Elephas maximus indicus: one gene and its partners. The protein of the gene in region 4 interacts with the protein of the main gene of each other region in a pairwise test. Links are inferred from orthologs where the notes say so. Each region holds a gene or a part of one and is shown on either strand. Other genes may lie near its edges.

The links.
Region 1: the proteins of DCTN2 (region 4) and KIFC3 interact in binary tests that used the Homo sapiens proteins (3 or more experiments, as listed by UniProt). The two-hybrid records come from large-scale screens. The link is inferred for Elephas maximus indicus from reciprocal best matches to the Homo sapiens genes DCTN2 and KIFC3.
Region 2: the proteins of DCTN2 (region 4) and CCDC172 interact in binary tests that used the Homo sapiens proteins (3 or more experiments, as listed by UniProt). The two-hybrid records come from large-scale screens. The link is inferred for Elephas maximus indicus from reciprocal best matches to the Homo sapiens genes DCTN2 and CCDC172.
Region 3: the proteins of DCTN2 (region 4) and GADD45A interact in binary tests that used the Homo sapiens proteins (3 or more experiments, as listed by UniProt). The link is inferred for Elephas maximus indicus from reciprocal best matches to the Homo sapiens genes DCTN2 and GADD45A.

Annotation. Positions count from the first base shown.
Region 1 is NC_064839.1:24,689,268-24,696,837, reverse strand, and holds the start of KIFC3 (kinesin-like protein KIFC3), read left to right. Parts: upstream 1-4,539; 5' UTR 4,540-4,646; intron 4,647-5,722; exon of another isoform or gene 5,723-5,784; intron 5,785-7,570. UniProt on the Homo sapiens protein: Minus-end microtubule-dependent motor protein. Involved in apically targeted transport. Required for zonula adherens maintenance.
Region 2 is NC_064834.1:67,089,867-67,097,742, reverse strand, and holds the start of CCDC172 (coiled-coil domain-containing protein 172), read right to left. Parts: upstream 3,064-7,876; coding exon 2,985-3,063; intron 2,527-2,984; coding exon 2,441-2,526; intron 1-2,440.
Region 3 is NC_064821.1:113,651,042-113,658,237, reverse strand, and holds the start of GADD45A (growth arrest and DNA damage-inducible protein GADD45 alpha), read right to left. Parts: upstream 3,042-7,196; 5' UTR 2,733-3,041; coding exon 2,689-2,732; intron 2,189-2,688; coding exon 2,087-2,188; intron 1,827-2,086; coding exon 1,589-1,826; intron 540-1,588; coding exon 426-539; 3' UTR 1-425. UniProt on the Homo sapiens protein: In T-cells, functions as a regulator of p38 MAPKs by inhibiting p88 phosphorylation and activity.
Region 4 is NC_064822.1:117,449,699-117,457,490, reverse strand, and holds the start of DCTN2 (dynactin subunit 2), read left to right. Parts: upstream 1-4,745; 5' UTR 4,746-4,910; coding exon 4,911-4,946; intron 4,947-5,857; coding exon 5,858-5,926; intron 5,927-7,792. Other genes in the region: KIF5A (kinesin heavy chain), read right to left, coding at 1,447-1,575. UniProt on the Homo sapiens protein: Part of the dynactin complex that activates the molecular motor dynein for ultra-processive transport along microtubules. In the dynactin soulder domain, binds the ACTR1A filament and acts as a molecular ruler to determine the length.

The DNA of each region.
Region 1 (7,570 bases), on a different chromosome or scaffold from region 4:
ATCCATTCTAAGGCTTTAACGGTAGGTAATCAAAAGTCCCTGGGTGGCACAATCCTCTTGCACCCGGCTACTAACCGAAAGGTTGGTGGTTTGGACCCACCCATGAAAGAAAGGCCTCGTGATCTGCTTCTATAAAGATAAAAGCCAAAAAAACAAACCCATTGCTGTCGAGCCAATTCCAACTCTTAGCGACCCTATGGGACAGAGTAGAACTGCCTCATAGGGTTTCCAAGGAACAGCTGGTGGGTTCAAACTGCCAACCTTTTGGTTAGCAGCCATAGCTCTTAACCACTGCACCACCATGGCTCCTCTGTAAAGGTAGTAGCCAAGGAAACCCTATAGAGTAGTTCTGCTCTGTAACACATAGGGTCACCATGAGTCAGAATTGACTTGACAGCAATGGGTTTGGAGGTCATCGAATCTCAAGTTCAATCATTAAAACTGGAAAATCATGTAAATCTGTGCTTTACTCTGGGTTATTCTGGGTTACTATGACAATCAGATCAAACACAAACTGGCTTTTCATTTCTTTCTCTTGGCTTCCCTCTGGGAAGAAGTACCCATGGCCCGCCCCTTGGCTACCTCTGACAGATGACCCTCCCTGAGTGTTAAGGAGACTCAAGCCCTTTGAACAAAAAGATGGCACTGCTGACCCATGTGTAGGGGTCAAGGTGGACATGGGTATGGAGTGTTCTTGCCACTACCCTTTTGTCTGGCCCTCCCCGAGACAGGTATGCCTCTGTCCAACTGTGGGCAGGGAGGGCCAAGGCCAGGGGCAGAAGCCAAGCGTGTTGTTCGTGGGTTCATGACTTCACATTGGGACGGACAAGTCTCTGTCAAATCCTTGGCCTCCTCTGTGCCTAGGGCAGATTTGGCAGCCTTTCAATCAAACCATCAATGAAATTCTAGGCTAGAAATGACCTTGGATTTGGTATGTAGTTCCTGGTGAGAGTGAACATTCTTTAAAAAAATTCCAACAATCATGAAACAATTTGTTTTTATATTTCAGGTCAAAGCTGTATTTGCTGGAGCCAGAACGTGCTTCCTCTAATGCCCCAGTTTTCTTTTTCCTTCACTGGTGCTCTGATCTTAGTAAACTCTTATAAGCCCGTTGCTATCGAGTTGATTCAGACTCTTGGTGACCCCATGTGTTACAGAGTAGAACTACTCCATGGGGTTTCCTTGGTTGTAATCTCTTTTTTTTTTCCTGTGCTTTAAGTGAAAATTTACAAATCAAGTCAGTCTCTCATATAAAAATTGCACACACCTTGCTATGTACTCCTAGTTGCTCTTCCTCCAATGAGACAGCGCACTCCCTCTCTCCACCCCATATTCCTGTGTCCATTCAGCCAGCTTCTGTCCCCTCTGCCCTCCCATCTCCCCTCCAGACAGGAGATGCCAACATAGTCTCATGTGTCTACTTGGGCCAAGAAGCTCACTCCTCACCAGTATCATTTTCTATCCCATAGTCCAGTCCAATCCCTGCCTGAAGAGTTGGCTTTGGGGATGGTTCCAGACTTGGACTAACAGAACATCTGGGGACCATGACCTCCGGGTCCTTCCAGTCTCAGGCAGACCATTAAGTCTGGTCTTTTATGAGAATTTGAGGCCTGCATCCTCCTGCTCTCCTGCTCCACCAGGGATTCTCTGTTGTGTTCCCTGTCAGAGCAGTCATTGGTTGTATCCTTGGCTGTAATATTTACAGAAGCGGATAGCCAAGGCTTTCTTTCGTGATGCCGTTGGGTGGGTTTAGCAAACCTCTGGTTAGTAGTCTTTTGTCTGTGTGTGTGCATGTGGATACCCTACCTGGGTTCCTGTCTCAGCTCTGTCACACACCGGCTTTGTGAATTAACCTTTCTGAGGCTCAGTTTCCTCTCCTGCAAAACCGGGATATGATGGTGCCCACCTTATAGGGTGTTCAGGGTTAAATGAGATCTTGTTTATAAAGAGCTTAGTGCAGTGCCTGGCACAGTGTTAGCTTTGAATAAATGGTAGCTATTATGTGCATAGAGAAAAAAAAGACTACTAAAATGTTGGCAGCCTTTATCTCTAGTGGGTGGGATTACGGCTACAATGAACATCTATTACTCTTGTAATCAGAGAGAAAGAACAATAAATGTTATTATTAATTTAAAATTCTGGCTTTGGCTTTGTTGGAAGGAACCTGCAGTTAATGTCAACGTGCCAACCCGAAAGTAAGATAAGACCTCCGGTTTTATACCAAGACTTTAAGGACAGCCCCTGCCTACCACCACCAATCAAATAGCCCACCCACTGCCCTCGAGTCAAATAATAGACTATTATAATAGAGGGAGGAGCCCTAGTGGCTCAGTGGTTAAAGTGCTAAGCTGCTATCCAAAAGATTGGCAGTTGGAACCCACCAGCAGGAGAAAGATGCAGCAATCTGCTTCCCTAAAAATTTACAGTCCAGGAAACCCTATGGGGCAGTTCTGCTCTGCCCTACAGGGTCACTGTGAGTCAGAATTGATTTGACAGCAATGGGTTTATACTAGAGGGAGATACTTGCCCAGAAATCTAGAGAGATTTCAACCTCATCTAACCTTGCAGTCCCCCCTGACCACTGCTGTCTGTGGGGGCAGACAGGGGATACTCTCAAAATAAAGCCTCCCCCATTGGGAAGGTTCTCCTCAGCTCTTAGTTGGAAATGTCTAACTCTCCAGAGAGCACCCCAGGAGAATGACATCTATCCTCTACTGGGCCTTTGCTTGGGCATCTCATTTAGAAAATAAAACACACGCTAGCCCACCTCCAACAGTGGGGAGAGGGGCTGTGAGTGGCCTCATCTGGCAGCCACTGAGACAGGTGGCTGAGGCTCAGGCCTTCAGTCTGCTCTGATCAAGCTTCCTGACCTTTAGCCTGTGGCCCTGGTAGCAGCAGGAGACTGGAACTGCCTGATCCCCTCCCGTCTCGCTCCTCCTGAGCCATCCTCTGCCAAGCAGGAAGGGGCAGAGTGCCCACCCTGCTCGGATTATCTGTGGAACCATCGGTCTGCGCGCTGGGCTGGCTTCCGAGCTTTTCTTTCTCCTTCTTCCGCACCCTGAAGGGGGAATAGTGCTGTTGACTCTGGAATAAAATGCCGCCTCTGTTTGGGAGACAAAGAACAGAGTAGCTCCTCCGGGTCAGCTGTCTCTCCTGGTCTGCCGGCCCCCTGGCCTCCCCCACGCCCTGTGAAGAGGCTGGAGCTAGGCCGGGAGCCTCTGCCTACTCCCAGGGCTGCTGCACTCTCAACATGTTTTCACTGGAGCTGAAAGGAATACTGTACCTTAAAAACCCCAAATGCTTCCCTGTTCTGGAAGATGTTAATTTGCTGGGGCGTGGGGATGGGGGTTTGCTGTGACTGGGAGGCAGCCTGGCCTACATGTGCATACTAGAGTGAGTGAGGGCATGTGTGTGAACGTATGTGTGAGAACGTGTGAAAGTGCATTGTGTGAGGTGACTACAGTGTGTGAGAGTTTGTATGAGAGTATGTGTTGTCGTCGAGTCAATGCCTACTCATGGTGACCCCATGTGTGCAGAGGAGAACTGTTCCATAGGGTTTTCAAAGCTAGGACCTTTTGGAAGCAAATGGCCAGGCCTGTCTTCCTAGGTGCCTCTGGGTGGGTTCAAACCACCAACCTTTCTGCTTAGTTAACTACTTGCACCACTAGGGACTTCTCAAAGTATGTGTACTAGGGTTTAAAAGAATGTGTGTACTAGTACTCAATAGAGCGTGTGAGAACATTTGTGGGAAACCACGTCAGAGAGCACGTGTGAAAGTGCTGTGCTTGTATGTGGTGAGTGCGTGTGTGAGAACATGTGGTAGTGTGTGCATGTACTAACTAGAGGGTGTACGAGAATGTGAAGAACGGGTGTACTGGCTTGTTAGGCAAAGCATGTGAGATGTGACAGTGCGCGTAAGCGCTAACTAGAGTGTGTGAAAGTTGTGTATTACGGTGTGAGGGTGTGAGTGCTAGTGTGGAAGCCTGTGTGCAAACGCATGCGTGAATTAACTAAACCCGTTGCCGTCGAGTCCGTTCATAGGGTTTCCAAGAAGCAGCCGGTGAATTCGAACTGCTGACCTTTTGGTTATCAGCCAAGCTCTTAACCATTGCACCACCAGCCCTGGCAACCGTGTATTAACGAGTGGATGAATATGTGTGAGACCTACGAGACTTGTGTGAGTGTGTGTGAAAGCATTTGCAGTAGCGTGAGAGAACACGTGTATCAGAGTGTGTGAAAGACTCGGTGCGTGAAAGTGTGAGTTCTTGTGGAAATATGTGCGCACCAGCGTGTGCAGGGCGCAGAAGGCGGGAGAGACCGCGTGGACACGTCTGGGTGAAAGCTTGACGCCTCAGGGTGGGAGCCCCCGCGTGTGAGTGCACGGGGGCGCGCGCCCGGGCCAGCACGTGTGCGTGAGTGCGCGCGCCGCGCCCCCCGCCGGGGTCTAAGCCAGTTGCCATGGGAACGCGCCGCGGCCCGAGCTAATCATTTCCTGTGGAAAGTGTGCGGGAGGGGCGGGAGCGGGGCGGAGCAGGGCGGGCCGAGGAGGAGGTGGCGGCGGCGTGGAGCTGCCTCCAGCCGGCTGGCCGGGCCGGGCCGAGCCCCCGGCGCTGCGGCGACCCCGGGATCGTGCCTCCGTGAGGCGGGTAAGTCGGAGGCCCCGGCGGGCTGCGGGCGGGCTGGGCGCTTGGGCTCCACCCGGCCCGCCGTACGGGGCGCCGTGTCCGAGCCCTTCCTCACCGCCGGACCCCTGTGTCCGGGCCCGCTGGGGCGCGGGGGAAGGCCCGGCCCCGGCTTCGGCCCCGGAGACCCAGCCCTGTGCGGTCCGTTGGCACTGTCCAACCTGGGCCGAAGACCGTGCCCCGAGCTGGGCACGGGAGCGGCACGTCTTCTGGGATCAGAGCAGCTTCGGGACCCCCGTTCCGTTTCCATCGGCCTGGGAGAGCGCGGACCCTACCCCAGAAAGGCAGATGTTAATCAGCGCTGCTTCCTTCCTTTGAAGGCTGCAGTTTTGGGGCCTCCCACCACGTACCCTGAGCAATTCGCTTTCCAGCTGGCAGGGCCGGGGTGGGGTGGGCCAGCCCCCAGTTCAGGAAAGAGGACCTTGGCAGGTGCCCTGTTGGGCAGTGGGGAATCGGGCCGTTGCCAGCGGTAGGCTGGAGGTCCCAGCAGCCACCCCCTTAAGCCCCTCATAGCGAGTTAGAGCCGAACTTAGGCCTGGTCCTGGGAGATTGTAAAGAGGAAGCTGTATTTAATTTCTCAAGTGCCCTTTGCCATCACCATGAGCACATCTGTCTCAAGGTTGAGGGTTGTGACCACCTCTGGCCCTTCCGGGTCCCTGGCTTTCCCTCTCCCTGAGGCTGGGGGAGCACCCATTCTTGCCCAGACTATGCCCCATGCCCTTGATAAAGTAGCTGTCTCCTTGGCCAGCAGAGTCATTTGCCAGGAATGCAGCCTCAGAATGGGGCCCTGTATTTGCAGTGATTGGACCTTAGGATGCAGGGTCATGAATTCCACTGTCCTTAAGGGCACAAGAGAGCAGAGAATTTTAAAATCTGGATTGTTGTGAAAAACGCAGATGTGTGGCTCTGTGCAGGGAAGATCCCAGCCCCTGTGCAGTCTCCCTGACCTTCTGCTTGTACTCCCAGGGGGACTGAGCCCTCCCCAGCAGCAGTCCCTGGGCAGTTGCAAAATCTGTCCTTTAATCATTGAAATGCCCCAGGTCTGGGAGAAGGAGGAAACCCTTGACCCTGCAGTTCTGCCACCTGGCCTAAACCCGGGAAGGTAGGTGTCCCCCTCCTCCAGCTGTCCCCTCTGCATTCATCCACCACAAGTGGGAGGTCACTGAAAAATAAAAATTTTAACTCTTTGTATACCGCCAGGCGCTCTTTGGAAACTCTTTGGGGCAGTTCTACTCAGTCCTGTAGGGTTACTATGAGCCGGAATCAACTCGACGGCACTGGGTTTTTTTTGCCAGTATTGCTCTGAACACTTTATATGTGTGTTGCCTAATCTTTACACCAACTGTAGAAGGTAGAGTTCTTCCCATTTTACAGATGGGGATAATGAGGCACAGAGAGGCAAAGTGGCTCTCCCAAGGTCACACATCTAGTAAGTGGCAGAGCCAGATTCTGAACCAGCTTTTGGTTATAACCACTCTTCCATGTAATCCCCCTCCCCATCCTGGGATGGCAGAGGCCCCAGATGCCAGGTGGGTTATGGAAGGCCCATGCAAGTAAGGGGAGAGGGTGCGTCTTTCTGGGCCCAGAACTGTGGCCTTATTTGAGATTCCTTATTACTCTTGACTCCCCACCCTCCTCCAGCTGCTAAATTCAGCTGCTTTTTCCTCTTTGAGATCTTGTACACACCCTCTCTCTTCCTGACATCTTCCTGGCTACCTCCCTGACTTCCCTTCCTGAAAGCCACAGAAATAATGTCTTCTGCCCCTGCCCCTTAGATCTAGCTGATTTCCTTATATGTCTTCTCCTTCTACCATGCAGTTGACCAGCAGTGCCCTGTACCGCCTCACCTTGTAGTGGCTTGGCTCACAGGTAGAGCCAGCCTCTCTCCCTCCTTGCTCGTTGGGCAGCTCGTCCGCAGGGTTGGTTGTTTGCCTGTGCCAAGCAGCCTGGAGAAGAGGACATTTGACTGCTCCCCTTGGTTTCTTTCCTTCCTAGGGGTAGATTATCTGATAGGCAAGGTAAGCATGGCGCTTGCCTTGCTTACCAGACCATCTATGGTAAACAATTTCACATTTTTTCACCACATTAAAGTTTCTTCTTCTAGATATGGCTGGCACCTGTCCCTCTCCCAGCCCCACACCACCTTCCTATAGAGTCAAAGCCTTTTTTCCAATTTATAATTCCTAATAGGGGCGGATGACCCAGTAAGCAAGGTAAGCACAAGCTTACTTGTGCTTACTAACCTGTAGTGAACAATTTCACATGGGTTTCAGCACATCTCAGCAACACTGGTCCATCTCGATTTCCTCAGTGGAGCCAGCCCACATATTTGGATTTGCCTCCACCCGTCCTGTGGCCCACATTCCTGCCCCATTGTGGTGACGCTGCACCCAGGAGCCTCCTCCTCCAAGTTTTTGTCCCCTCACCAGGAGACTGGCCTTCTAGGGCTCAACTACGCAAACATCAGACACTACGTCTTCGTGCCTCCCACCCTGCCTCTTACTGTCTTCCCCTCTCTGTGCTTCCATCATTCTTGTCCCTCTGTCTACCCAACATGCTCATATCTCTCCTGTTCCAAAAACCAAGTCCTCTCGATTCATCCTGTCCTTCCCCTGCTAGCCAGACCTCCCAAGAGGGGCAGGTAGCCACTTCCTCTAGCTCCCACCCCACTCCTGAGCCTTCCCAAGTCTGCCCCCTGCCCTGCTCCATCAACAAGCTCTCTTAAAGAGCACCCAGGGGCTCCCTGCCCGTCTCAGTTTCCTTCCAGTCTGGTTCACTGGGAACTGGCATCCTTTCCTTCCCATTCTCTCTCTGGTCAAGTCTGAGGACTCTACACCTGCCCACCTTCAGCCACCTCTGCAACCAGCCTTCTCTGGCTTTCATGCCCT
Region 2 (7,876 bases), on a different chromosome or scaffold from region 4:
CATTCTTAATGTTTTGCCCATCGCACCAGTTTTAGTATTGCTGGTAGCAGCTAGCGTATCTGCTATTCACAAGCAAAGCAAGAGCTAGGGTCTCACTGAACAATAGTTCCAACTCCTATTTTTAAAAACAACACTGTCCCTATTATCGCACTATTGGTACTCATTCATTCATTCAAAACATTAATGTAGACTATGTGCTAGGCATTAGATACAGGCACCATCCTATAACCAATAAAAATATGAGTAAGAAAAATAATTTCAGATATTTTGTTCACAAAACAGTAAGGGAAACAGACACAAACACAAGTATGTAATATTATTTAGTTGTAAGGTAATGCAGTAAAATATTAAAAAAAAAATTTGTGGTGCAATGGATCACTTTTCTGCCATCTTTCTTGCCTTGGCTTGTAACGCCCACCCAAGTGATTGAGTGGGACTGTACAAATAGTGTAACTGTGGCCCACCAAGGGGACTGGTCAGTTTTGCCATCCCACTGAGCTTAAAATGAGCCATCCCAGAGGTGGGATCTCACCACAACCAAGAAAGAAGGGCCAAGATCACAGCATGTCCTTTGGACCCGTAATCCCTGGACTGAGAAGCTCCTGGAATCTAGAGACTGAGAGGGCTTTTACACTGAAGATGGTGAGAAGCAGTGGCAGAGAAACAGCAGCAGCAGAGACCTGCAGCAGGAAAACAGTGTGCTGAGCTTCCCAGCCCACAAAGCAAGAAAGCTGAGTGCCTTTGGGCAGGAGGTTTGCTGGAACAGTAAGGTGCCTCCAGGCAGTTGGTGACGCTAGGCTTGGCAATCCAGGAGACAGCATGGTGGGCTTCCTCCACCCACAGAGCTAGAGCTGAGTGCCTTTGGGCTGAGGCTTACTGGCAGAGTGGCATACCTCCGGGCACTTAACAGCAGAGCTAAAAGAGCTCTGTGACACTAGCCCATGCAGGGCAGGGGCCAAAGGCCAGAAGAGGCATGCCTGCAAGCACGACTGGGAAGAGCCTGTCCTGATGGAAGAACTGTATCCTGAGCATTCCTGAACCTGGACTGTAACCTGTTACTTTCCTAATAAACCCCAAAATCATGAGTATTGTCTGTAAGTTCTCTGTGGCCACTGCAATGAATTATCGAACCTGGCACAGAAGTACAGAATGCATGGGAGGGACAGTTGGTGTCAGAATTGGTAAAGACGGCAGAAAGAGGTGGTATGTCTGACCTCCGCCTCATAGGACTCAGCCTTGGGCTGTTGATCTTGATTCTCCTTCTCCCTTGTGAGTAAGAAGAGGTCAGACACTGCCCCCATGCCATCTGTACATTTTCCAAAATGTTCATGGAATGGCTTCACAGGTAATGTCTGAGCTAGATTTAGAAAGGAAGAGAAGAACCTCATCAGGTGGAGAAGGATTCTGTGATTACTTTACTCACAAAGAAAAATGGAAATTATTCACAGTGGTAAGTTAAAATAGATATGTTTATCTTAAGCACACAGACTTTCTCAAACAGACTTCCCATGGCATACTGCTTGCTTAGTTCATCATTAGGTGCCAAATTTGTATTTCTGTATGGCTGTCTGTCCCCACCCATAGCCAGGCCTTCACTGTGATATATTTAGATGATGTCCTTAGCTTCCTAACTATATGCTGCTCCCATCCTCCTTATCGCAGCTGGGAGAGATTCTCCTAAAACTGCTTTTATCATACCTTCCCTGATAAAAACCAATGGGTTCCTCTAATCCCAGATATCAGCCTTGCTTTGACTAGCTTTCTCTCCCAATATGCCTCAGGCATTTCTACTTTCTCCCTTTTGTTCATATCCTCTTAACCCAATGTTTTTCTCCTATTTTCTTTGCCTCTCCAATATTCTTCCCACACTTCAAAATCCTCCTTCAAGAAGCTACCAGGTTCTTTTACTTCCAGTTCAAAAAACACACTTTACAAAAGCTGCAGAAAAGTGAGACATGTTAGTTGAAAAATTACCCTTTTTGGATGACAAATGGTGTCCAAAATTGGCAGAGAATTGAAAAACAAAAGGCAGAAACTCATTCGAAAGTTACATTCAACAGTTGTATCAATACAGCATGCTTCTTAAGTTATTTATTATTCAAAGTTTATATATTATGCCAACTACTTATTGAACAATTATTTTTCCAATGACATTACACTTTAAAAATCTTAACCAGTCTTCAAAATGGACGATGAACTCTTCATTATTTACATCATTACTTGAACTGTTTCTTTAAAGCAAGTTCATATTAGAACTGAAGGTACACTGGATTCGGACTTTTAAATATTACCAGACAACATGGAGCTACATCAACCAGCACAGAAATAGTGTGCTTCTTACTTGAAGGACAAGCAGTTAATAAGTGAAACACTCCTAAAAGGTCAAGTTAAACCTGATTTTTTTTCAAGTGCTAATTAGCATGCTTTCCATGGTCAATACCTTAGATTCCAACTTGATCTTCTCTTCATTCAGCTCCACCGTTGCTTTCTTAATTTTTTCACGACATCTGATTGTTTCGGCCCTGACTGTAATAGAAATTAAATCCTTAAACACATCAACCCAAAACCAAACCAAACTCATTGCAGTCAGTTCGATTCTGACTCACATACAGATCAATCTTTCTAAAAATCCCCTTTTTTGGGTAGCATTTAGTAAGGCAAATCTCAGCTTTATTTCCCAAGGTGGAAAACGAACTCCCCTAACTGCTGTGTGGAAACCCTGGTGCTGTAGTGGTTAAGTGCTACACCTGCTAACCAAAAGGTAAGCAGTTCGAATCCACCAGGCACTCCTTGGAAACTCTATGGGGCAGTTCTACTCTGTCCTTATATGGTCACAATGAGTCAAAATCAACTCGACAGCAACGGGTTTGGTTTTTTTGGGGTTTTAACTGCTCTGACCACTGCTTTCAGGATTTCCTTCGGCTCCAAGCACCCAACTCAAGGAGACAATAAGGCTTCGTGCACAATGACAGCAATCCCCCGACCTTCTCGCATCAAGCGACGGCTCTCCTCAGCCTGATGCTCGGTGAAGATGATGTGTTGAAACAAGGACTCTAAACTCATCTCAGGCCCAGGCTCCTGTGAATCCTTTTTTCACCGTTCAGTATTTTATAACCAAGGCGGAGGATCCTGGAAAGCACAATAAAGCAGAAAGATTATTCTTGAGCTATTCCCAGATCGGCCTCCACTACCCTGACTGCCTCCCCACGCCCAGGCAGGAGCCCGACATAGGATGGAGTCGGCCTGGGGGTCTTGGGGCACCGCCGGGGCCCGGGGAGGGGCCGAGACCCCAACCCCGCTCGGGGCAGCCTCCTGGCTCCTCACCCTCTGCTCGCAGTCCATTCTCGCTGCCTTTGTTTCCCCTGTTATAGTCCACAAACCCGTTTTTTTCTCCCTCAAATCCTCGGTTCATCTAGGACAATAGTTTGAACTCTGCCTTTTTCCCCTCAGAGAAGGCCTCTCCCCACTCCAGGTTTGGCTTTTTGTCCCAGGGCAAAATAAAAATGGAAGCCCTGGGCCTTGGCTTCCTAGTGGGTCTCGACAGCGGCCCTTTCCGTGGTAAGCCTTTTCCGCTCAATCCTTCTCTTTTTAGGGATGAAATCTTTGGAGACTTCCTTCTCTCAGCAATATGTGTACTTACCAAAAACTGCCGAGAAAGAAACCTTCGCTAAGGCCAGAGCTGGTGCCTCGGCAGATAAGGCTCTGCCAGGAGAGAGCTTACACTACGGTGTCTCGTTGGGCCCATTCTACCTCAGAGGCGGTTTCCTGTGGGCTACGTAACTCCCTGAAGTCTTAGGCCTTACATGCAGTTGAGGTGATCTGTCTCTGTTAGTCAAACGCCCAGTATTATAAAGTACAATGTACCCGTGATTCTAAATATAAACTTTTGCAAAGTCTTATCCTTTGAATATGGCAAAGACTGCTATAAATGTGCAATGTCTGACATTCCACCTTAATCATTCCTTTGTAATCAGGGCATATCTTTTTTGTCTGCTTTAAAATTAATCATTGCCTTTTGTAATCAAGCTGCGGTTATATTAACACTTCAATATCTGTGCAATATGTGTCAGAGACCAAAGTGGTTGCTAATTAAAGCTTAAACATGAAAGGCACCTTTGGGACTTTTGCATGAGATTTTTAAAATTAAAAAATAAAATATTTTTACTTATAGTAGGTCAAAATATTGAGATTTGAATAAACAATTGACTCCACTTCTGAATGTTAAATTGACGTTGGTTAAACTTTAAAAAGTATTTTCTAGTTAGAATGTATTTAGAATTAAGTAAAATAAGGTAGATGTAAATTCTGCCCCACCATCTATGTATTTCCTTAATGCTGTAGTATAATTGATTATAACTTTTAATCTATTCCAGATTTCCACCTTAATTTCCATCAAGCCGTGTATGCATAATTTGATTTTTAAACTTTATTATAAAGGAATACATACTGAAAAGTATAATGATGCTGAAAAGAATTACCCATAAGTTGACAAATCAGAAGCAAATATTAATGGCATTTTGGCTATTGCCAGCTAATCCCCTGCACCTTGCCATTTTTCCTTTGTAAACTTAAAACTACTGTGAGTATATGATGACAATGATGGTAACAATAGTATTTACTGAGTATTTTCCAGGCACTATTCCAAACACTTTACATCCTTTTGAGAATGATTTTAGTATTGCTTTCATTGCTTAGCGGGGGAAACCGAGGTACAGAACAGTTAAGTATCTTGCCAAGGTTGCATATCTACTATATGGCAGAGTGAGCTCTGAACCCAAGAAATCTGTGATCAGAGGCCATGAATTTAATTTTTGTTTCCGCTCTTTTTTCCTTGTATTATATCACAAGTATTTTACTATTTCATTGAAAGCTTCATAAAAGCATTTTTAGAACTTCATAATTCCCCATCATATAGACACGTGTAAAATTTAGATATATAGGAATAAATTTGACTCTTTTATTTGCTCAAGGATGAAAAACAAAGCTGAAATTGTGGTTTGAGCCATTTTCTTTGAGCACTCGTTTGGAGGCTTATGAACTGTACCACGGCTGCCATCAAAGGAAAGGGCTTCCAGAAGATAAATTATATTACTAATTAATATCACTCCCTTCAGAATTATTTCCTATGGACTTGCACAGGGAGCATCCTCACAAGGAGGCTGGTTTTCAAAAGCATGCTGCTATTTAACATTCCAATTTTATTAGTTACACTCAAACTCACATATATTATTTAACATTCTCTTTCCGTTCTGAAACTTGGCAGAGTGAGATTTGGGCAGCCTTTAGGGAGTCTAGTTGCCTCACTCACACAGGAGTGTCGAAGGGAGCTGTTGGAATTTCAGGAAAGGACATGTGGGGTGAGATGGTTTGCTTCTTCATCTTCTGTGGTCTTCTTCACACGCCCAGAATATTTGGTGCTTTTAAACACTAAGCTAGAGTATTCTAGAAGTACCACAACTATAGACAACAGCAGGGTTTTTTATTTTGTTTTGTTGATATAACATTATTATGCAAGCCCACGATTCCAACTTCAAGTGTTTCACAATAATGAATAAAAGAACCATAATTAAGATATTAAAATGCCATTATCATATTTAGTGTTCTTCATGTATTTTCTATAGCATTAAGATATTTTTCTTGTAGACCTACTTGCTGATTACATTCTATAATGTTCAGAGAAAGCGTGGCATTTCTTAAATTTATGCCAAATAAAAATGGTATATGATGTGGTAAAACTTGGGCATACTGTTTTCTGGAAGTGTATCGATCTTTTAAGTCTAAAAAAAAGAAATGATTCATTCAACAACTGTTTAATGACTCTCTGCTATTCACCAACAAATATTATTGAGTATCTCTTATGTGCCATATTTGAGAAACAACAACAAGATTTAATAAAAACAGAACTACATAAAAAAGTATTTTTCTTCCCCCGGATATATCTAACCTCGTTGGAGAATTATTATATTTTTCAACATTTTGGCAAGAGTATAAACAACTGCTTTCAGATGTTTCAACAGATGTTCTTATTTGCATTATGATACCCACATATGATTCTCAGATCTAAACTTTCCATCTGTACATATTTCATTGAATTGCATACCTATGGAATATAAATGTTAAGAACACTCATTGTCTCTCAACCTCAAACTTTTGTTCATAATAACTCTAGCACCTGGGTTATTGAGCAATTGGTAATTGCTTTGCTAGAAGGCCTTATATAAGGCTGTATTGTTCTTGTAATTTAAAATGCATTTCCTCTCCATTCTTAGATTGATAACATCCGTAAGTTCTAAACCAGGCTTGCAAATACCCACTAACCCAGGGCATATATATTGCAATGGAAAGAGGAAAAGTAATTCATTTATTTTATGTTTTACTCACGGCATCTGCCAAAAAGAAAAAAAAAAATTATGTGGGTTCAACCAAGTTTTACAACCATTTATTGAGTATCTACTAAGTGTAAAACTGTCTGCTAGGTACTATGGGGATACAAAGTCAAAAATGATACAGGCCCTGCCCTCCTGGAGGTCATAATCTGTCAAATGGGACACAGCATATATAATAACTCCCAGGCAGGCTATGTACAATAGAGCTTCACTCTTGTGCTATGAGAATATGGCAGAGGGAGAGAATAAGCCTTACAAGTGTGATCTGGGAAGACTTATCAGGAGAGTATAACTTATGCGATTGGTTTTTAAGGAGGACGGGACTTCAAAAGATAGAGAATAAGGGAGAAAAGGGGGTAGAGTGTTAGGCGAGGCCAATATTTAGAAGGTGTTGAACATTTTCATGTATATGATGGAAGATCATATGTTTTCAAGCAGGTGAGTGACATGTAAGAGTTGTTTTATGCAGTCAGTTCTTGGCAGTGGATTAGAAACACTAAAAAGGAAGATATTGACAGCCTATGCATTGAATAGCTTGGTATTTGCCAATCACCATCTGAGACCGTGGCAAACATTAACTCATTTAATCTACACAACAACCCTACGAGATTGATGCTTTTCTTATTTCCACTTTATAGTTGGGAGACTGTGGCAGAGAGAGGTTAAGTAACTTGTCCAAGGTCAAAACAGTAGCCAGGAAGCAGCAGAATCACAATCTGAACCCTGATAGTCTGATTCTAGAAGGCGCATCCTTAACTACATCACTTGGTCGCCCCTAAAAGCTAGAAAAAAAAGGAAATGAAAGTGTTTTGGCAGCTCAGTTTCATTTCAAGGCAGATGAATTTCCTAAACAATGCTCGTCACCAACAAATTATTATCTTTTCTGAAGACACTTGGAAACCTCTCAGACTTCTAGAGCTTGGATTAGTAATGCAAAGCGTCTGTAACAAATTAAGACCAAATGTGATCCAAGGGTAAAGAATCGAGAGTGCTTATTTAACTAGCTACATATCTAATATGTAAAACTAAAAATGAAATCTGTGTATAAAGACCTTAAAAGGTAAGATGTGGAAAATAAATTCTGATTTTAAGAAAAGAAAGTGAATCAAGACTTTGATTTACTTCTATTATAATCAAAGCATTTTTGGTGGTTTAAGTGACTTTAGAAAGCATCCTGCACAATTCTTTTATTAGGTATGTGTTAATATACCTCAGGCCAGGGATATGTTGGATTTTCCCAACAATGCAGAAGCAGTTAACATCAGAGCTTTGTCTAGAACCTTCTCCTAATTCCTTCCTACTCCAACGGAAGATCCTTTTGTTCGCCAGTGGTTTTCAACCACTTCAGCTAAAACAACTCCTCTTTGATTTGTTTTCTATTTTGAACTTTGTTATAAGAATTTGAAGGAAGGGTCTGACAGCCAGAATGCAGGGCTGGTCTGGAGCAATTCATCTACTGCAGAAATCCTTCCTATTAAGAAGATACATAT
Region 3 (7,196 bases), on a different chromosome or scaffold from region 4:
TATGGTTTTAAAATATGATTAACCCCTTCTGCTTTTCTTTTCCATTAGGGCATATAAACCAAAAATATCCAAACTACTGCTGTATTATTTAAACTTTAACAAAGCATATTTGGTTTATTTTAATGTAACTCAACCATCCTAAATTAATACATAGTTTGTTTTCCTTCCTGCATGGTTCTTTGTAATTTTTGTTCCTTTTGACTTGTATTTCTGTTTCAACACAGCTTCCTTCTTCATTTTCACCTCTTTCCATCTGCAAAGTCACCTATCTCCGGTCCCCTAGAACATGTAGTTGAACTCACTCAGCCCCTTGACATCAGTTTCTGTAATCCTTGCATCAGTGTAGGGAGTAATTGCTTGAGTAACTACAAAGGTATTTCAAAACTTCAGTGCAATTTGGTTCAGTTATTTTCATTCAGATGCCATCACCGTTCGGGGAGATTAATCACCGGAACCCACTGATCCATGTATCGACTTTCCCGGCAAAAACAAATAAGTTGACTTAAGGCGGGATCCTTCCATTGCGATGAATGTGGATTCTGGGAACAAATTTAGGAAAATAGATGTATTATTATTATTTTTTTTTAAATCAGCATTTGCTAATACTTACACTACCCTGAGGGGAAGATACTTAAATATTCTATCTCTTCACTATGTAAAATAGAGATAAGTTACAAGCATAAATAATAAAATTTCTAGGTAGTTAGATTACTTGCACAATTGTTAATTATCTATTAAACTATATTCTGCAGAGTCTGAACACAGGCAATCCACACACCACATACATATATTTACATGACGGTATTATTGTTTTGCATGAAAATATCATTCACAATCTTGCCCTGCAAAACTGCACCCTGGCAGAGACCTGAGTGAAAGAACTTGGAGAAATATCTCCACGCTGTACGTGCAGTGAGATGAGCTGTAGAGCAGTTAAATAGAATTGCCACCCATTATCCTCCAAAAGATTAGAGCAGCAAAACAGTCTGCCACTTAACTAGAACCAGTCAGAATACAATAAAATTTAAAAGACAAAGCTACCACATTTACCTCTGAAAGGTTTTTTTTTTCCTCCCCAACAACAAAAGGGTCCATTAAAAAAATGCAAGATTGCAAAGAAAAAAAATTTCCACTCTGTCCTCTTAATGTACTTCTAGGGAATTAATAAGGTCTGTCTCCTACACCACTTCTATTTTTAGCTCTGACTGGCAAAGAATGAAGCTGACTCCTTAATGAGGGTGAGCCAGGAATTTATTTGGCTTTATCTAATCTGCCCTGTTAAAGGAATTAGTCACGGGAGGTAGTGCAGATGTAGGTAGGGAGTAGCTGGGCTGACAATGCTGACTCACAGGGATCTCTTCCGCTGCTGGCAACCTCCAACGTGCTTAGACATGTTCTGTACCAGGGAAAATCCTGATGATGAAACTAGCACATTCGGCTGAAAGTCCGACCACACTCTCTAGGAGGGCAAAGGCAGCCACCCTCTTGACTCCCACCCGCTCTAGACCTGCAGTCCAAGAATTCTTAGCCCTTCCTTACTTCCTTCCGGGACTTTAACCCCCGGCCCCGCTGCCCCCTTCTCACTTACCGTCACCAGCACGCAGTGCAGGTCGGGGGGCTGCTCGGCGCCCTCGCTCGCCGCCCGGCCCGCGTCCGGCTCCAGCAGCAGAAGCTCGGCCAGCCGGCCCGGGTTGCTGACGCGTAGGATGTTGATGTCGTTCTCGCAGCAGAACGCCTGGATCAGGGTGAAGTGGATCTGCAAAGCCACATCCCTGTCGTCGTCCTCGTCCGCCGCCAGCAGGCACAGCACCACGTTGTCGGGGTCTCTGCGGGCAGCGCGGGGGCCGGTGAGCGCCCAGGCACTACAGGCCCGCGCGGGCGCCCGAGAGCCCCGGTCCGCCTCCCCTGGGTCCCCGCGGGTCGCGCTCCGGTCGTCCCCTCCCCCCCCCGGGGGCTGGCACACACGGAGGCGGGCGGAAAGCTGCAGCAGGACTGGCGCTGCAGGGCCAGGGGCGCGCCGCAAGGGCGACCTCCCAGGCTGGGCGGGAAGGGGCGCCCCGAGGGGACACGCGAGGGCCCCACTTACACATTGAGCAGCTTGGCCGCCTCGTACACCCCGACGGTGATGGTGCGCTGACTCAGGGCTTTGCTGAGCACTTCCTCGAGGGCATCTCCCACCTTATCCATCCTAGACGCGGCCAAGGGCGGAGGAAGGGGTCCCGTCAGTCCAGGCCCCCGCGAGAGCCGTAGCACCCCCTCGCCCCGTCCCAAGTGCAAGTGCCACCGTGCACCGGGGCTTTCTGCAAGCCGGGGCTCCCGCCGTCCAGCCGGCCACATCCCCTCACACTCTGAGGCCGGGACAGTGCCACCCGCCACCCTCTTCGGAGGACACTGCCAATTCCCGGCGCTGGGCGCAGCCACAGGCTGCCAGCCGCAGGAGCCGCGCGGGCAGGGACGACCGCGCTGCCCTTTGCAAAGACCCACGGAGGGACCCGGCCGAGCTGCAGAGAGGGCCCGAGGGAGGGTCCCGAGGGAGGCCGGGCGGACATGCCCTCTGCAAACTTTTCCGCCCGCTCCCCGCTACAGCTCCACAGCCCTCTGCACCTGGGGTGCGCGGGGTGGGCGAGAGGGCTCAGGGAGAGGCTGGGGAGATTGCCACCAGCCCGAAAAGTCCGCAGGCTGACTTACCTTTCGCTCTTCTGCTCTCCAGCCGAGAATTCCTCCAAAGTCATATTGCAACTGCAGGTCCCCCACAGAGAGCGGCGTGCGGGCTGCTCTTACCACCGTGGGCGCGCGGCGGCTGCTCTCTGCACGCCCCTCACAGGCACCGTGCGCCGACTCCGGCCCCTCAAGCGCGCGGTCCCCGGCACTGCCCGGCCGCCCCTCGCCCGCCCGGGCTCCTCCTCCAGCGCCCGCCGCCGCCGCGCCCTCCGCCCCTTGCGCCCGGTTCGCTCGCTCGCTGGCTCTTTGACCCTCGCCAACGGACGCGGAACGACGACTGCAGTTGCTCCACAGCCACTGAAGGACAAAGGGCCCGACTCGCCAGAGTTATCCTGTTAACCTCCAGCCAACCACCTCCCGCCTTATTTGCATACTACGCAGCCACTGGGCTATGCAAATAAGCCTGGTCTGGCAATTTGACCCCAGCTGCTGGTTCCAGGCGGAGAGGAGCGGAAGAGGGAGGAGCTACGCGGGAGGCGGTACTAGGGGGCGGGGCGGTGCAGCGAGAGTAGGGGGCGGGGTCTCGAATCCTGTTGGCGGGGCCGATCGTGGAGAGGGGTATAGCTGTTGAGGGACATAGAGGGGGGCTTGTCTTCAACTTGGGCTGGAGAATGCTGTCAAGTGTTTTTCTAGTTGGTGCACATTTTTTATTATCGTTTCATGTCTTTTGTTTTTAGGGGTTGCTGTTAAAGTCTGTTTCCAGGGTTAATACACCCAAGTCTAGTAATTACTAGTAAGCAGGTTACATAAAAAGAGTGTGTCCAGACCTCTGGGGCAGTTTACCTCAGAAGAGTTGTTTATGTAAGTCTGAGCAAAGCTGCTTATTAGTAGTAGTATTTTTTCGGTGCCTTGATGGCTGGTTTGATTTATTTTTGGAAGGTTACAAGGGCTGGAAGCTCAAAAAAGAAAAATCAACACATTTGTGTTTGATGGTGGCAGGGGACCAAGTTGGAGTCTTTTCCACAGAAAACAGAAAGGCTTTCCACCTGCCCAGTGTAACCCTGGAAAACCACGAGCTGGTGCACGTGGGGAGCTGGTGGCCACATGTGTGAATCCCAGCTGGACAACCCCAGTTCACCTTTCCCGGAGAGCCTTTCCCTAAGGAGGATCCTCCTGCACCGGTAAAAGCCAAAAGACAAATGTCTGACACCTTCACATGCCACAGCCTTAACTCAAATTGCTCTCGATATGCCCTAAGCTTCCTTTCATAAGGCAAGTAAATATGTCACTACTTTCCACGGAGAGGCTATGATCTCACTGTGAATTACTGACGTTGGATGCAGAATCATGAAGCTGTAGCTATAGCATGTTTGTTATATGCTAAAATTTCACCTTTGAGATAATGGCAACCTGTCGGTGGAAAGCAGGCCTTTATAACTGCAAACAGTAGTCACACATTTTTGAAACAAACTTTAATATATAGACTTTCTCTGAATGGGTCAAAAGCCCCTTTCTTTGTTTTATGACTTTATGCAATAAATGCAGAAATATTTCTTAAACCTACTTAAGTAACCAAAAGTGGTGAAAATGCCTCCCGCATGCTTGCACTAAAAACAGTGCTTGCATTATTAAGGTCGCTGTGCAGCCAAAGGTCACAGAAGTAACTTTTTTACAAAGATATCAGGACCAGAACCAGTATCAATTGCCGGTGATTCTGACTCATGGCGACCTCAGAGTTTGAGCAGCTGATTTGGGGGAAGTAGATCTCCACTCCTTTCTTCTGAGGCATCTCTGGGTGGACTCAAAGCTCCAATCTTTCTGTTAGCAGCCAAGAGTGTTAACTTTTTACACCACCTAGGGAGGCAAAGATAACATGGAAGTTTTTGTACCCTTACAGAGCAGTTTTTTGCAGCCACTGCAGTGGTGTAGTGGTTAAGAGCTACGGTTGCTCACCAAAACGCCAGCAGTTCGAATCCACCACCAGGTGTTCCTTGGAAACCCTATGGGGCAGTTCTACTCTGTCCTATAGGGTAGCTGTGAGTCTGATTCAAGTGGAGGGCAACGGGTTTGGTTATTTTATTTTTTTTATGTTTGTATCAACGAACCTTGTGGCACAATGGTTAAACATTGGCTCTTAATCGAAAGGTCAGCAGTTTGAACCCACCAGCAACTCCAGGGCAGAAAGCTGTGGCAGTATGCTTTCGTAAAGATTTATAGCCTTGGAAACCCTATGAGGGCAGTTCTACTCTGACCTATAGGATTGCTATGAGTCTGAATCTATTTGCTGGCAATGGATTTGGGTTTTGTGTGTGTGTGTGTGTCATTCTTGGCAAAATATTTTCTAGTTCTCTTGTTCTTAATTTAATGGAAAAGTGATAGGTCAGGTTTCTGGTTCACTTATCCAAGCTGTCATTTTTCACTCAGTCCCTAACTGCACTGTGAGCAAGGGAATTTGAGTAAAAGAATGGTCACGGTCATTGTTTAATTCACCTAAGGGTGCTTGTGTATCTTGTATCTGTACCTTAAATTCTAACATGTGGTGTCTTTGTTAAAGAATTCCTCAAGATTGAAACTTAGGTAGGTGCTGAAGCACTTTCAGTTTTGCAAACAAAACTTGAATTACACAATCTAGCCTGAATCATCGTTTGGAGATTGTTGAACTGTGTTCCTCGGAACTGCAACGTTCTTTACACTAGACGTTTCTCAGAGGCTCTCTGGAAGGAAATGTAGTCACAAGTCACAGCAAAGACTGTGACTTTATCAACTTGATGTCCTCAGCACCTGGCACAGTGTCTGCATTTAGTAGAAACATAATCCATGTTTATTGAGTGGAGTAGAATCCAAAATTTGAACAGGATCGTGCAATTCCTTCAGTCTTGTGTATTGCATGAATTCCCTCTAAAATACTTCACATTTAACTTTAGTTAAAAAACGAACAAACAAATAAACCCAAGAACTGTCCATTCTTGATCCTTTGCCTTTAAAGAACTTATGATCTAATGGATATGTTTATGCTTGAACAGGATTTTAGGACAAAATATTATGCACTGTCACCTGCTAGCTATGCTGAAAGTCCCATGACTTTACTCATCTGAATGGAAACTGTAGGACAGTAGAACTCATGTATTGTTTACACCAATTCAAATGAAACACAGTTGTAATAATGTCCCATCCAAGTCAACTATGTGCAGTAAAAATATGGCATAAAATAGTTAATTCTTTATATAGGGGTAGTCCCTCACTCAAAAACTACGTTGCACGCTCTATCTGGCCTCATGGGAAAGACGTTTGTTCAAGTATTGTGGGGTTTTTCTCTGCGAGATAAGCCCAGGCTTCCAGTATTCAAAAATATCTATTTGTCATACTTTCTGACTCAGATATGTTACATCATTTTGCCTTGTTGCTGAGTCTACCTAGACGTTTCATCAGTGATTATCTTCAAAGTTGGGCCTTGTGGCTGCAAGTAGAAACTACAAGTAGCTGCATTTGAAATGTAGTTATGCATCGGAATGATCATAGATGGTTTTTTTCGTAAATGCTTATTTGTCATCGGGAAAGAAAGAGGAATTAGTATCCAACAGTAAATCAGAGGAATTTCCCTAGATAAATATACATATTTTTTATAGCCAGTGTAAGAACTCCAGTATGTGAAGTCATTTTTAAGACTACTCCAGGTAGCCCTGAGTACTTCATTTGCACAGGATTAGAATGACCTTTTAGTAGTATTTGAAAGGATGCCAAATGGTTATATTTGGAAATGAGATGGAAATATGTACTCAAGAATTGTGGAATTATTTTAGCATTGCTACCTGCTTTGCATGTGAAAATCTTTATGATATATTCTTCACTTTTATCATATATACATCCCTACTACTGGTTCTATGGAAACCCTGGTTGCATAGTGGTTAAGAGCCACGGCTGCTAACCAAAAGGTCAGCAGTTCAGGTCCACCAGGTGCTCCTTGGACATTCTATGGGGCAATTCTACTCTGTTCTATAGGTTCGGAATCAACTCGGCGGCAGTGGGTTTGGTTTTTTGGTTTACTGCTGGTTCCATAGTACAGAATTATAACTTTTTTCCTTTTAAATAATAGTCAATCCTTTAACATCTGAAAGAAATATGATGTTTGTTATTTCAGTATTAGAAAGATCATCGTTCACAGTAAAGAAGACAAGTTAGACTATGACGGATGTATCTACCACCTACCTAAAATATAGAACTGTGTTACTATATTGTGAAAAGTCGTAAGGTTCCTGATATACATATTTTTTGTACAAGTCTGGTGAAGTTAGTTTCTAAATGCAGACCTGAGAATTTCCCTCCTTTTTTGAAGATCATTCAAACAAGTTTTACCATCACCTAAAAATGTGTGGTCTTGTTTTAGGATCAATATTTCTGTTTGATTTTAAGATAAAGGTTTGGTTTCTTGAGCCATCACTGTGATAGGCAGAATTCTCAGATGGCCTCCAGGAGCTTCACCCCCTGGTGTTTCACTTTGTATAATTCCTTCCCCTCAAGTGTGGGCAGAACATGTG
Region 4 (7,792 bases):
ATCCTTGGGGATGGGTAAGCAGACCTCTCCCTGAGACATGTTTACTCAAAATCTCATTCTCACTGACTCATAGAGCCCAGGTTCCCTCCTCTCCTTTCATTCCTTTAGCAAGCGTGTTTCCAGCTGCCTTGTGTCAAAGACTGTGGATCAAAGATACATAAGAAGTGCTCCTGACCTTGAGAAGCTCAGGGACTGCCCTCAAATTCGCCCCTCCCTTCTTAAGCAGGGCTACAGTTTCCTGGCCCAGTACCCCTCAAGCCCCACAGGACTCAATTCCCAGATCCTTTCACCCCATTCCACCAGCCTAGGCAAGGTGGAGTGGATGAGGCCTAGCAATTCCCTTTGAGTCATAACTGATAAAGGTCCAGAACAGAAATCTGGAGAGGCAGTGCGATGTAGAGGAAAAAGCATGAGCTTTGAACTCACAGATTTGCATTCAGCTCCATGAATTAACTGTGTGACCTTGAGAAAGTCATTTAACTTCTTTGGGCCTCAAGGTCCTTAACTGTAAAATGGAAATATTAATCCCTGCTTCAGAGTGTTGTTTTAAGAACTAAATAATATGGATAGAGTGACAAGAACACAATAAATATTATTTTCCTTCTTAACAAGACCTCCTCCATGGTTAAGGATTATCATGATGAGGTAGAGGTGGCTTGCTACCTTTTACTGGTTCATCAAGGGAAAGGATGAATAAGCAGGTACTTATTAGGATCTTGGGTTTGAGCATTTTTACTTATTGGAGGGGAAGTGTTGGGGGGTCTGAAATCTTCTTCCTATTGTACCTGGGAGGAAAAGGGAGACATTTCCTTAGGACCCCAGAGGCTTCCCCCAAGCTGGGCGTGGCATCCATGTATTCCTTTCCCAGAACACCCTTCAACAGACTTGTGCCCTTCCCCCAAGTCCAGGCCTTAACTAATTTAGGGGATGATGGAGGAATTTGGTCCCGGATTTGGTCCTGGACCCCACTTCCATTCACACCACCGCAGAGACCCTGGACTGCCCACCTCCCATCTAGCCCATCCACTAGCCTTCTCCTCCCTTGCTGGGAGGTGAGGGGCACAGATCTGAGCCAATAACAAAGAGAAGATGCACCTTCTCTGGGGAGAGAGGGAAAAGATCAGAAAAACACGGGACTGACTCTAAGGGGTGGCGAACCTGTAGAGAGTAGTAAAGGCGAGCTGGCTCCCCTAGTCCCGGAGAAGTAGCCCCCTCCCCCTCTGCAGAGTCTTGGCCGCTGGCCTGGCCAGGCCACACCCAGCCATCCTGATGCAGGGGAGAGAAGGAGGGACTGCGGCGCGGAGGATGGTTGGAGGATGAAGGATGGAGGATGGAGGATGAGTGGAGGGGAGGGGGCGCAGTGTGACAGGCAGGCGCTTAGGCTCTGCGGTATAAGATTCAGTCTCCCGCCCTCCCCCCCCAATCCCTTCCAGGGGCAGCACTCACCCCAATAACGACGCTGTCATCCCCTTGGAAAATGGGGATGAACTTGTCCCCCCGCAGAATCTCTGCCTGGTTGAGGGGCCGAAAGCGGCAGAGCACCTTGATGCTACATTCGTTGTTGGTCTCCGTCATGGTGGTCGCCGACGTGGGGCTGGGGCACTTCTGGGGCTGCAGGGGTGATGTGTGCTCCGGAGGAGGAGGGCGCTCAGCTGAGGCCGAGGCGGAGGAGAGGAGCTGGGTCTCTGTTGAGGGGCGCCGAGGCGAAGACTGGGAGCAGGACCTGTGCGCGCTTTCTCTCCTGCGGCACTGGGGTGCGGGCGGGGGACCTGGCGGCTGGTGCTCTCGCGGCGCTCTGCCTCTCCGCCCTTCCCGCTGCAGCGCAGCGCTGCGGGCTTGGGCGGGGCCGCGATGAGGAGCGGGGGGCGTGGCCTCCCTCGCCGGGAACCGCTCGCACGACAATGACCAGCGCAGGGTGTGACCTTTCCTCCCTACTCCCACCTGTCCCCTACTCACCCCTGAGGCTCGGAGATAACTTGCCTCACCCCTTCCCAATCCAGTTCATACACTGCGTCCCCCTCCCCCGACCTGTTTGTCCCTCCCTCCACCCCCTGGAAGGGAATAGAGGGTCGGAGGTGCGCTTGTCTTAACAAGAGGGTCAACAAGGTTTCCATCCCTTTTTTCCGGGGTATCCTCTACCCCCGTCACAGTCCTCTCTCTAAATTGGGAGCCCACTTCTCATTCCCCCGTCTCACCTCCCACGCACAGATGCCAAATTCCCAACCCACTCAACCTTCAAGGGCAGCTGCCTGTACCTGTATTGAGGGTGGGTCTCCAGGTCCCATTCTTGGGGAAGAGGTATCAGGGGCAAGTCTGGCTACCACCTTCCCCTTCTATATGCAAGGGTGCACCCTACTCTCTCCCCAACATACACACCAGGTCCCCAGTTTGAAAGAAGACAAACTCCCATTCTGGCCTATCAGAATTCAAAAGCAGATGAATTTCTCATTTTTGCCTACTAAATTGAGACTGGGATGGAGGTGGGCAGGAGTAACTTTTGCAAGAGAAAGGGAGTCAGAAGGCGGTGAAGGAGAGTGGTGATAGGAGTGGGCAAGGCTACAGGGGCCTCTGAGAGGATTCTTAGGGTGAACACCTGCATTTGGGTTTCAGCAGGTTTAAGCACCTATGTATGTTTCCTGTTCCAGTTACCACTGGACAGAATCCCAATATCCCAGCCCCTTTCTCAGGCCTTTCTTCTCTGCTTCTCCTCCCTTCCCTGGTACAAGTCAAGCCCAGAAAAGCCTTGTCCTTCTTTCTCCCAGGTCAACCTACAGCTGCAGCCCATGGGGCAGAACCACCAAGAAGCTGGTGAATTGATTTTTCTCCATGTCACAGGTTTTTGCTGGCCAACAGAGAGTTGGACTGCAGGAGTTGAAGCTCTGGGCCAAGGGGAGGGGCAGGGTGATGGGAGCAGGGAGGAGGGAATGGAGGTTCTACCCAGCAATTGTCTGTTAAGTGTCTAAGGTCACTTAGACACTAAGGGGCAAGGGTAAGAGGCTGATGGCCTGGCCAGAAAAGACCCAACCACTCAGAACTCATCTGAGGAGGGAGTTCCCATCAGACCTATATCTCTAACCCACCTGAATCTTAAGAGAACTGAGGGAAAACGATCCAGCTTAAGGAACTGGATGAGAAGGCAGTGGAACTATGGAGAAAGAGGGGTAGAGGCTTGGGGGAGGAGCCAGGAAAGTGTAGATAGAATGACAACGAGTTCTAAACTCAGGAAAATAGGTATCTCTCCAGTCACTTTGTCTGGCACTATTTCTAAGTGTTGCAGCATCCTGCAAGCTCGAGAAATATCCTGGGAAACATCCCAACCTTGAGGCCCCAGGAGCTTCAGGGAAACATACTTAGTAGTTTCAGAATGCCAGGCCATGAAGGGTCACTGGATAGCCCTCCCCTCCCCACCCCCCAAAAAGAACAATGTGATATATTACCATTTAGATCTGTGCTCTGCTAAAAAACCATCTGTACCAGCCCAAAAGGTCAACATTTAATCCAAAGTAAAGATGAGACGATAAGGGGGCAGGGAAACTAGAGTACTGGAAATGGAACAACCAGAGCACAAAGAGAATGTTGATACAATGTGAAAAATGTAACTGATGTCATTGATAGATTTGTGTGGAAATTGTCAAACAGGAACACTTTCACAAAAAAACACAATAAAATATTATTAAAGAAAAGAACAATGTGGTGAGTTTTTCACAAAGCTAGTTAAGTTTAAAAGAACTGTCTTTTATTCTGAGACTTCCTATTTTTCTGCTAAGTTGGTGATAGAGACAGTAGGTTTTCTTTTTTTAATGTATTTACTTGGAAAAATAAAAAGGTAGCAATTCGGTGTTTATCCTCAAAAAGATTTGCTGTTGTTGTTTCAATTTTATTGAACTGTGAAATTCAAAGGTCTTGAAACTATTAGTGAAGTGGTTAAGAGCACAGAGGGTGGTCTGACAGATATGGAAGTATCACTTTCCTATTATATAACTTTGAAATAGGATTGCCAAATTAAAAAAAAAAAAACTGGAAGCCCAGTTAAATTTGAATTTCAGATAATTAATAATTTTTTGTGTATGTCCCAAATATGGCATGCGCCCTTATACTAAAAACTATTAGTTGTTTTTCTGAAATTCAAAGTTAACTAGGCGTCCTGTATTTTATGACACCCCTAACTTGAGAAGATAAGATTTCCATACCTAATACGCACTAAAAAAAAAAAAAGTGGACGTCGAATCATCTCTGACTCATAGAGACTCTGTAGGACAGAGTAGAACTGCCCCATGGGGTTTCCAAGGAGCGGCTGGTGGATTCGAACTGCTGATATTTTGGTTAGAAGCCATAGCACTTAACGACTACATCACCAAAGCTCTTAATATGCTCTAAGCGTTTACTAAATTTTACTTGTTTTTCAAGCCCTGGCTATGCCATAACAGGACGAGTTTTGTGATTTTATCTAGCCACTTAATTTCTGGAAGTTCCAATTTATTCATCTGAAAAAAAGGAAATATAAGATCTCTTTCACAGACTTGATGTAAAAAAGAAAGAAAATAAGTAGTGTAAAACAGCTCCTCAAGACGCGTTATTGTCGTTCCCTGCCCAAACCCCAGCCCGCCAAGACTACACATCCCACAATCCCAGGCGGCGTTTCCCCTCCATCCCTGCCATTACCTCATTCTCTGGCCTCGTTCTCGCCAATCCCTGCCTAGCCGGAGGTGTGGCATCAGGCTATTCTCGCGACTTTTGTTTTACCCTTCTGCTGTGCTACTCCTGTCGCGAGACCTCCGGCTCCTCCGCCTCCTGCGCCGCTCCCTTTGCCGCCGTCTTAGCCCGGGACCCGGACTCATCCTCTCCCCTACCTGAACACCGGCCCCGGCTCTACTGAGGCCCCGGTCCCCCCACCCCGCCTCGCCGCCGCCATGGCGGACCCTAAATACGCCGACCTTCCCGGCATTGTGAGTACAGGGCTGGCTACGGCTTCCCAGGACCGCGCCCCCGACCACCCTAGGACCCCCAACAGACACCAACCCGAACCCCTCCCGCCTGAAGCCCCTCCTCCGCCCCAAGGACGCGTTCCCCTCGCTCCGAGACCGGCCGCAGCACCTTCCGGACTCCTTCTATCCGACTGAGCTGGGCCGTCGGACGGCGCACCAGACCCCCTTCCCGGCAGGCGCCGGCTCCCCGGCCCCGAAGTCGTTGCTGGTCGTTACCACTTGTGCCCTAGTGTTACCACCAGTGTCAACACCTCCCGTGCTGTCCCAAATCTCCCTATAAACCCCCCACCTCTCACGCCACCCCAGAACACACACAACAGGATACTTGGTGATGGCCTTCACCCTGCCAAGGAAGAGATTAGGGTGGCAGAACTTTTCTTGTGTCAGAGGTGGAACTCTGTCCCCCGGGAATCTGCCCCTCCCTTCCCCCATGCACATGCCTGCGTGTTCCCTCTTTGTGCGGCTCTGTCTGTATTTTCCGGGTAGGGGTTGGATCACAGGACCTTGGTCCCGACTCATGCTTAACCCTTGTGCCGGGGTAGTGGTGCTCCGGGCCTAATTCAAGGATAGCCCTCACCTACTTGTGATATGATTGCCAAGGACGTGCTCCCCCAGCCTTCAGATTCAGAGTAATGAGTAACATCTTTGTCATCAGTACATACCATTTACAATCAGGTCCCAGTTGTCCCCTCTGTCATCCCCACCCCACTGAGTCATGGGGAACTGACATGCTGTTAGGGACAGGTGGAAGAGAAAGGACAGGATCCTGGCATCACAGCCTGCCTTTTCTGTTTGTTCAAGTGGAATGGAGGAAGGGGTGTTGGTGGATATGCTGGGTGGTGAGGTCTGGTGATCACTGCTTCTGCCTGCAGGCCAGGAACGAGCCAGATGTTTATGAAACCAGTGACCTACCTGAGGATGATCAAGCGGAGTTTGATGCGGTAAGACCGTGCTGCCTCAGGACTCTTCTGGACTCTGATGTATCTTTCCCAGGCAGGGCCTTTCCCTTCTTTGGCGAGTCACAGCAATAAGTGGGTATGCCAACCCCAGCCTAGGTGGTATGTAGGTTGCAGGACTTGCAAAGGCCTCACTGGGCCTACAGCCACCAATAAGTAATGCCAGGAAAAAGAGGTCAGTGGAAATATAACCAAGAAGACCTACTTGCAAAACCCTGATCCTTGGGCCTTTTTAATCAAATTAGATTATCTCAAAAACAGTTAGGTTGGGGCTAGAGACTTAGTTAGGCTCATGGGTTCTAGCCCATGGTAATAAATCATGAAGCCTGAACACTTACAACACTTGAGGTTAGGACTAGGCCTTTTATTTCGTAAAGTATTTCACTTCAGTATCCTACCAAGACCCTACCAAGAGCTAGACTTTGAAGTATAGAGGACTATTTTATAGGAATGTTTAGTACCCATTGGGCAAAGAGTAAGAAAATGATTTGGAGATTTTAGAGAGAGAAAGGGGACTGAGGAGGAAGGAATTAGCTAGCTATGGACATATTTGAACCAGGAGGGGGACTACTTAGCATTGTTGACTGGATGTCTTGCTTGTGTGCTGATTTTTGTGCAGTGCAGAGGAAGGAAGAAATGTTCCTGCACTCAGGAAGCCCCCAGACTAATAGGGGAGTTAGGAAGCAGGGAAGAAAAAAACAAAATTGAGTGAATGAAAATCAACATAGTAGAAACTCGGTATGTAAGTGCCAAGGTGGGCAAAGATCCATTAGCATATCTTACAAGATATGTTTCAGGTTCTATTATTTCCAGACCTGGGCTGAAGTCACGTTAATGGTGTGAGATCTGAGTGAAGGTGTTATCAGGAGTCAGAGGGAACAAGCTTAATACGCGTGTCTGTGAGTCCTGTGGCTGTATCTGTGGGCTGGTTAGTTCTGGGGAACGCTGGTTGCTGGCTTATAATGTATGGCTTGGCGTACTCACTTATTCCTTATTTGATTCCCCCATGTGGAAGTGGTTCCTACTTTGTGGGGAACACCTTCCCTGTCCCCTCTCAGTGGTGTGTCTTTGTGGCTTCTGTATCTGCTGGCATGTCAGGCTGTCCCCCAAGCTTGAGTATCTGGAGATCAATGCAGAATAATGTTGTTGCCCAAGGACCGGGGTGTGCACCTGTCATTCTAAGAGGTATCTTATTAGGAAGCTGCCTCTGGCCTCACAGGATAGGGATATAGATGCTGAGGACTTCACTGTACTGCCACGGTTCACAGACTGCTCAATTCTGTCCTAAGCCTCTGCCTAAAAATTATCAAGCCTTCATGGTAAGATAATGAATGGAACTTTGTAACTTTGTCCATGACTGAAAAAAAAAAAAAAAAGGCAGTATCAAAGCAGTCCCCTTTTTAGACCAGAAAAAAAAAAAAAAAGTTGCAATTTTCCTTTTGAAGCAACTGGGACATCTCTTAATAAAAAGAAGATGACAACCATTCTAGGCATGGAAGAGCCTAAATGTGCATCTCTGATTGGCTGTTTGTCCCCACTGAGCCAGAGCAGCCTATTTTAGTAGTGTCTAGTGGGGTGGCTGATGGGGAGAGAGGATACCATGAGTCTTCATTTCTTGTGGCATGTTGCCCAGGATGCTGGTATAGCAGTGCTTAGGAGTGGGATGGTGAGCACAGGAGGAATCCAGTTGCGTCCATCACCTAAGGCTCAGCTAAGTGGCTCTCTATCACTAGGGAGGAGTAAGTGGGGCGGGGAACCTTCAGCTGCTCCAGAAGCCCTCAGGGCTGAGATGTTTCCTGGTGTCAGCTAATATCTCTGGCCCCTGAATGTCCCTATGGGCATTAGGAGAGC